2 linked regions of the Zea mays genome follow. The protein of the gene in region 1 interacts with the protein of each later gene in a pairwise test. Links are inferred from orthologs where the notes say so. Each region holds a gene or a part of one and is shown on either strand. Other genes may lie near its edges.

Region 1 (4,744 bases):
CCGATTGTTGTCCCCGCTCGCTCGTCCCTCGAGAAACCTCGTTGTTGCCCTCCCCCACGACCTTTGCGTTGTCAATTCCACCTGTTTGGCTCGGGCGCTCGACCTTTCCATTCCGTTCCATCATTCTTCTCGTACACGACCGATTGCGACCCTTGCCCTCGTCTCCCCATGCCACTGAAAATGCCCCGCCTCCGCAGCCGCCACCCGCGACTACCCATCCTCCCCGCACCACCTCAGGGACGCATTGGTCGACGATGTGGTGGGAGCATGCTATACCTACTCCTCAGGCTCCTCTTGGCGTGTGGCGGGGTCTAGCCCACCTCACTGGCCCCTCGTCCTGTGACCTTCTCTGAGGACAACTCTGAGGGCCGCGCCTACTTGCTCTAGGGGCGCGACCTCACGCGCTGCCACACCAACGATGTCGCCGTCGCCCAGGCCAACCAGGTGCCCACACCAACGATGTCGCCGTCCCCCAGGCCAACCAGAACCAGGTGCCCATAGACCTTTTCTCATAACAATATAACACACATTTTTACATAAGTTATCATGATATTATATATTTCCGTTGCAACGCACGGTCACTCACCTAGTATTCACATATGTTGCATGCTTGCAAAAATCCATCACATGGTTTTTGGACAATATGGAATCCTAACGGTTTGGTAGATGTCTTTTGTGATGTCTCTATAGTCTATACCTCATGTAATGCACAGAGTATTGATTTTTCATGAATAAACTTCTATAGTTGTCCTTCATTGATGCATTGCAATTTTTTATTGTTCAATATTTTTGAATGGAGAGAGAGGGGGGCAGAGGGAGAGGGAAGGAGGGAAACACAAGGTTTAAGAGGTATTTTTTTATTTTAGATACTTGTAGCTATGCTATTCCTTGAGGCATCAAGGATAGTTCTTTCAGTTTTTCCCTGATAACTCAGTCATGCTAATAACATCAGCTACATACTTCTCTGTAATGCAGTTTTTTCCAAATACTGTACCATGCTAATATATTGTTTTCTAAATCATGATAACTGAAACAAACTATTTTAAGATTTATATGTGCAGTAGTTGTTGTCAGTTGAATACATGTAGTTCTTTCATTAAACTGATCCATGCTACGAAAGACTGTCAACTATCAGATGGTATATATACTTTTTTAATACTACTGAATCATGCTAATGTGATGTTTTAAAAATCCTACTGACTGAAATTAACATTCTCTTCTCAGTATGTGCAGTAGTTGTTAACTAAATATAATATGCATGACTATGGTAAACTGGTGACCACCCTCCTCCCACAGTTCCACATGTCGCGGACTATGGTAAACTGGTGGCCACCGATGTCGATTAGCTAATACATATGGCAATTTACGAACTACTACAAAGTTTTAAAGACATATTAATTTTGATTAACAACACAATATATAGCCATGCATATTGTTGTTGTTGTACTATTTTTTTTCTGTTGCAACGCACATGTATTTTTATGTAGTCAAATAAATTCTAGTTTTTTCATAATCCATAGCTCATAGTCGCTTATTATTATCACCTCCGGAAGGCCAAAACCACTCGTCATCCTGTGCCCCCCTCCGTCCACTCTCGGCCCCACGCCTCCATGGTCACCGCCACGACAACCCCGCCGCAATGCTGGCGAGGGCTCCCCGCCTTGGCCCGGGCACCTCCACCCCTCTCCTCTCCTCTTCGGCCGCGTGCCGTAGCGGCTGCGGCTCCCATCTATCCTCTCAGGCGCCGCATCGCTATTACTACAACCAGAGGAAGGCGAGGCACACTGGACTGTTCCCCCAGGTACCGAAATCCCAGCAGATGAAACGTGCCTCCTGGTTTCAAGCACCGTGCAACCAGACTTGTTGAGTCCTCTTGTTGATTTTTTGGTTAGGTTCCTTCTGTCTGCTGTGCTCGTGCAGGTGTACGCTGGAAACCGCCGGCCCTGGCTTCGACCCTCTGGGGCTCTACGAGGAGGGGTCTAATTCTCTGTCGCGGTCTCCCCTGTCTACCTTCTTTGGTATCATGGCGCCGGTATTTGGGAGCTCCAGCGGCGGTGGTGCAAGTAGGGAGAAGGCGTCCGGGCGAGGAGCAGCAGGTTGCCAATTCAGAGCTATTTCCTTTTCACTTTTATCAGGACTAATACTTAGGAACGATTTTGGTGGATTTTGCAATAATGCTGTGCTATCGCACTAGTTAGTTAGGTTTAGTGGTATGCTTCATTAGCTTCTATACTGGTACTCCCTTGCCCCAAAATAACTGATGTTTTATGTTTGTCCTATGCCAAAGCATTTCAAGTTTGACCAAATTTATACAAAATATCAACGTTGAAGATACCAGCTAAGTATTATTAAATTTTTATCACTAAATATATTTTCTTATTATATATACCTGGTGTCATAAATATCAATGTTCTGTCCTATAAATTTAGTCAAACATAAAATGGTTTGACTTAAGACAAACATAAAACATCAGTTATTTTGGGGTAGGGAGAGTAGTAAATTTTGAAGTGAATCTTAGTGAAGCAAAACAGTGGTGCTATGCTACTTGCGTTGAAGTGTTGCAAAATCATATAATCAAATTAATGTTGTGGATAGATGAAGGAGAAACATACTTCCATGTTAGTTAAGGGAATAGTGCAGTGCAGTTTAAAGCAAAGCTGATCTATTTGGACTTGACAAGCCCAAATATCCTAAACAGCCTTGAAGACAAAAGTTAGAACCTGTATATTGCATCAATTTGGATGTGGTTCATGATAAGTTTCTTAAAATACCAACATTCTTTTGACGAATCAATAATGTATCTCATATCATGCTTAAATTTTACGATTTTCTTCAAATTTATCTGCTCTAGTATCTTGGCACTGCATCTTTAACTGCTGATTTTTTTTAAGTTTTTAACAGCTAGGATCAGTTCTGCAGATGGATTTGCTGGAATTCACTTTCTTTAGCCAATCAGTATTTGCTGTTTAAAATGTGTCTCAAATCTCAATCCAAGTACCTTTCCTTTTGAGCAGCTGCAATTGAGGATAGCTCCATTGACATTGGTGACTTCTTCAAGGGCCCTCTACCTGGGAAGTTCCTGAAGCTCCTTGGTTTTTTGGCCTTGTCTCGGCTTGGTGTGTATATACCTTTGGGTGGGGTCAACCGAGAAGCTTTTGCTGGGAACCTTGACCAGAACAGCCTGCTGGGCACTTTAGATTCTTTCTCTGGTGGAGGCATTGGCCGGCTTGGAATTTGCTCCCTTGGCATTGTACCATTTATCAATGCACAGATTGTGTTTCAACTCCTTGCGCAACTCTACCCAAAATTGCAAGACCTTCAGCGGAAAGAAGGGGAAGCAGGAAGAAAGAAGGTTCTTCAGTATACAAGATATGCTTCTGTTGGATTTGCAATTGTTCAGGTTAGGTTCCTTGAAATATTTGAGAAGTGGGATTTTTATGCGAAGATGGCTTAACAGTGAGAACCTTAGATTTTTTCTATATTATGATATTGTTTCAGCAATGAAACTTCTTTGAGCTTTGTTTTAAATGTGAGGTAATTCCGGCAACTGAGTCAAAAGTTAGAACGTGAAGAGCACTATAGGATGCTTGAAGTTCCTTGCGAGCAGAACTCATCTGTCTAAACCTCTATAGACTTGCACTTTTTACATGCAAAACTGAACTGACTTATACCTGGGAAAATGCTACTATGTGACATAGCTTCAGGTCAAACTACCTGGCATAACATAAAAGATAAAGGCTGGAACTTGTTTACAGATGCTAACATTAATATGCTTTGAAAAATTACCTGTATTTTGATTAAGAAAAAAGTAAGATTATAGCATACACAGTAACGTTTTGCTTGTCATGTCAGTAAGTTTTAGGAAGCGCTGTAATGCTGTGTCTGAATTGTGTTGTTGTAAGTAAAGATGATATTGTCTGTTTTTTTACTGCATGTCTTGTCAGTACCCATTTGTTGTGTCACCATGTAATCATTTATGATGTTATTTTACCTTGAATTTATTTATATATAGTGGGATTGTAAAAAGTATTGTATTTGTTTTTAGGCCATTGGACAAGTTCTTTATCTCCGTCCCTATGTGAATGATTTCAGCACAGAATGGGTTCTAACATCTGTGACATTATTGACACTTGGATCGGTCTTTACTACTTTCATTGGTGAAAGAATATCTGATCTGAAACTTGGAAATGGAACATCACTTCTTATATTTACAAGTATAATATCATATTTGCCTGCATCATTTGGGAGGACAGTTGCGCAGGCATTTCAAGATGGGAATTATGTTGGACTTCTCACAATCATATTGTCATTCTTACTATTAGTCCTTGGGATTGTCTATGTTCAAGTAAGAAAATATTCATTTCAAGGTATATTTACAGATTTTCTTTCGTGTTCTAACTGCCTGGGTGTTTCGATTTCAGGAAGCTGAGCGCAAAATACCCCTCAATTATGCTTCTCGTTACAGCAGTCGAACTGGGGAACTTCAGCGATCTGCATATTTACCATTTAAGGTTTCATACTGAATATACTTTTATAGTTTTATTTGACTCATGATGTTACAGACATAGGATCAAGAGATGCAGGAATGGAGGGGGGAGGGGGAGGGGGAGGGGACGTTAGGAGAAAAAGAAAGGTCATGGGTACACATGGTACCAAGGGTTGATAGTGGGAGAGCAAGGAGATAGAGGAAATACCATTTATTTTGCAACCTTTACTGATAGCCTCCCCCTCTGTATATTGGAGG
Region 2 (3,448 bases), on another chromosome or scaffold:
AAGTAATTTATCCTGTTTTACTCCATATATAGTCATAATTATTGTATAGTTAAAATCGATCAAAAAACCTAGCTTAAAAGATGGAATAACTCATAATAGCCCATAAAAGCATGTTCGTTTGGCTATCTGTACCGGCTTCTGCTACTTTTATAGTATTTTTATCTCTATGAATTATAGCTGCACCAATCCAAACATCTGGCTTAATCCGAAGTGAACAACCCCGCATACCCGCACGGGTTTTACAAAGAAAAAACTTATGTGATTAGAGATGACAATGAGTACCCGAAACACGTATACTCGCGCGGGTTTTACCCGATATAAGGGCAGGTATAGGACAACTTCTTTACTCGGGAGTATATTAATGGACACAATTTTGTACCCATCGGATAGACTGTGTGTATGGGTATGTACTACCCAAACCCACATACTCATGAGTAATTTATACCCACCTAAGTCATACACATATCCTACTTAAATAAGCACATATAAATATATATTAGCCAAAATAAGATCAACTTACATATTTCTACATTATTCATTATTTTTTCTTATTTTATTTATTCACATTTTATGTTTTATGTTTTAAATATGCCATATATTTATTAGATTTATGCTATTTAATATGCGTTCAGCGGGTATCTAATCGGGTGTGGGTTACCCGACGGGTTCATGCGGATATGGATGTGGGTAGAATTTCGTACCCAAGGGCAGATACGAGTTTCTTAACGGGTATGATTTTATCTCGTGGGTACGCATATGGGTAAGCACTACCGAGCGGGTACGTATCCATTGCCATCTCTATCTCCGATTACTTTACCTACAATAGGCCACTAATTAGGAGCGTTAATGGATCATGATTAAAATACTTTTTCACAAAATACTAGAGCCCTAAAAAATTTTAATTCAAAAATAATAGAAATAATCCCGATCTTTATAGTCTAAAATTTAGAGTTCATGGTCATACCACTCATAGGGATGAAAACGGTTTCAGAATTTTTCGGTATTCCGGAAACCGATTTCGAAATTTTTCGATCGGATTCATCGGTAAAGGTAATTTACGAAAACGGAATCGGTTTTCGAAATTTTCTATCGGAATCGGTATCGGAATCGTCGTGGTGTTTTACCGACCGTTTCCTTCGGTTACCGGTTTTGTCGGAAATTACCGGATTTGTGTCTCAGGATTTTCCGGAATTGTGTCTCGGAATTTTTCGGAATTGTGTCTCGGAATTTTCCAGCATGCGATTTTTCGCATCGCCTGTACGTCTCTAGATAAGGATTACTTATTTTTGTATTTTTGAATGCCTTAAGATTTTTTTTGGGATAGATGGTGTTGGAAGGCAGTTGAGATTAACAATTTGGTCTTTTCCACACACACTATGTTTTAGGGTTTTTCTGTGAGGCTGTGAAAAACTCTTTATGCGAGGCAAAATATTTCATAAGTAAGCATGTCATGTCAGCTAGATCGAGTGTATATTATGAATTGTGAACTTTGAGTCTGTGAACTTGTGATCTTTATGAACTTGTTATATTGTGAACTTGTGATCTTTGTAAACTTTTTATATTATAAATTTGTGATCCTTGTGAACTTTTTATATTGTAAACTTGTTATATCATGAATTGTGAACTTGTGGTCTTTGTGATCTTTTGTCAACTTTGTTGTATTATGATGTTTGATATGTTTACCGATTGTATTTTAGATTTCGACCGTTACCGGTGTATTTTTCGCACCAAACTTTCGTTTCCGATGTTTTCGAAATACCGATATCGTTTCCGTTTCCGGAGTTACCGTTTTCGATTTTGTTTCCGATAAAAAATATGAAAACGGTAATGGTTTTAGTGTTTACGACCGTTTTCATCCCTCGTGGATCTGGTCCCACACGTCAGTGACGCGAGGATCTGCTTCCGTTATCCAAACGCCACTATCCCTCTGCCACAACGAGGGCCGCCTCGTCTCGAGTCGCTGAAGCCATGGCGACCACGCCGACCACTGCAATCCTCCGCCTCACTCCAGCCCCTTCTCCCCGCACCGCGCGCCATCCTCGCTCTGCTACCTTCCTCCAGCCCGCGCTCTCCGTTTCCCTCTCCTACTCCCTCCCCGACTGCCGCAACCACCGCCTTGCGGCCGCTTCCAAGGACACTGCTAGCAGCAAGGGGCAGGAACAAGACCAAGAGCCCGCACCGTCGGCGCCGCAGGAAGGAGGACCAGAGAAGGTAACGGAGGTGGGGGCAGCATCGCCCGGGGAGAAGAGCCCGGAGGCGGTGGCGGCGGAGCTGAAGGAGGTGCTGAGGGCGCGGAAGGAGGCGGAGGCCGCCGAGGGCCGCGGCGGGTGGTGGGCAGGCGTGGCGCAGGAGATGACCGAGATCGAGTGGCCGGCGCCTGGGAAGGTGTTGGGCACCACCGGCGTGGTGCTTGGGGTCATCGCGGGCTCCACTGTCGCGCTGCTGTCCGTCAACGCCCTCCTCGCCGAGCTCTCCGACACCGTCTTCGCCGGACGCGGACTTCAGGACTTCTTCTCCGGCTGACGAAGCGGCGTGCTTCGTGTACTCTGTAACTATTTTTTTTTTTCTTGCACTTGGGGCTAGGGTCATAGATCAAATGTTCGAGGTTGGAATTATGTCCAATTTTCAGTTGCCAAGAAAAAGATGATGAGTCACTTGCGAATTTGGTAATGTTACTAATATGTGAGTGACATTTTGTTGGTAAATGGTCACTCGGGAACCTAACTTGAGTTCCTTCTGTTTAGTGGTGAGATAATAATAGGCTTCCAGATTACACTATTCAACTCAGTTAAAATAAGGGCTCAATTCACTTATGTTCAAGCAATTGTCTGAAGAATTTCTGCAGATTAAAAACGCTTATGATTAACACTATGCTCTTCTGATTCACTAGCACAGTAGTAGTTTGGACTAACTGAATGATACTCACTGTCTGTTCTCCTAGTGGCTTCATTTCACCCCGATGACTGATAGATAGGCGTATTGATACTCATATATACATTCAAAAGGGACGGGCATTTCCTGCTATCTAGGTTATATGGAGTCCCTCTTAATAAATTGTACAATCTGAAGTATAGTGTTTCCAAGAGGATTCTACCTCAACCTTGATCGAACTGGGGAGTTACGGATGGGATTATCATCTTAATGGCATTGTCCTATGTTTTGTTTTGTTGGGTTTGACAAATGTTAGATGTTTCTGTATCAATTCTCTCCCCACCGTTTAAGTAGCCTACTCTATTAGTCTTGCATTTGTTTTTCCTTGGATGATTGTATAGTCACAAACGAAAGAAGAACGTATATTATGATCTTTTTATGTCGCTGTGGGTACGAGGTTATGGGGTTAAATTTAATTATTTGCTTTCCAATGAATGGGATATAAGTATACAATTGTAGATGCTCTTCTACCAGGAAGAAATTTATAGCCGTTGTTGTTAGGTGGCTGGATGCAGCA

The links. The genes of interacting proteins can lie anywhere in the genome.
Region 2: the proteins of preprotein translocase subunit SECY, chloroplastic (region 1) and uncharacterized protein LOC100286380 interact in binary tests that used the Arabidopsis thaliana proteins (3 or more experiments, as listed by UniProt). The link is inferred for Zea mays from reciprocal best matches to the Arabidopsis thaliana genes SCY1 and SECE1.

What each region holds. Positions count from the first base shown.
Region 1 is NC_050105.1:53,384,488-53,389,231, reverse strand, and holds the start of preprotein translocase subunit SECY, chloroplastic, read left to right. Parts: upstream 1-1,593; 5' UTR 1,594-1,610; coding exon 1,611-1,801; intron 1,802-1,892; exon of another isoform or gene 1,893-1,920; coding exon 1,921-2,096; intron 2,097-3,014; coding exon 3,015-3,400; intron 3,401-4,045; coding exon 4,046-4,345; intron 4,346-4,421; coding exon 4,422-4,511; intron 4,512-4,744. UniProt on the Arabidopsis thaliana protein: Involved in protein export. Probably interacts with other proteins to allow the translocation of proteins across the chloroplast thylakoid membranes. Required for normal greening during embryogenesis. Central subunit of the protein translocation channel SecYE.
Region 2 is NC_050104.1:16,102,830-16,106,277, forward strand, and holds uncharacterized protein LOC100286380, read left to right. Parts: upstream 1-1,908; 5' UTR 1,909-1,968; coding exon 1,969-2,523; 3' UTR 2,524-2,750; downstream 2,751-3,448. UniProt on the Arabidopsis thaliana protein: Involved in the import/insertion pathway in the thylakoids. The signal recognition particle is not involved in the insertion of SECE1 in the thylakoid membrane.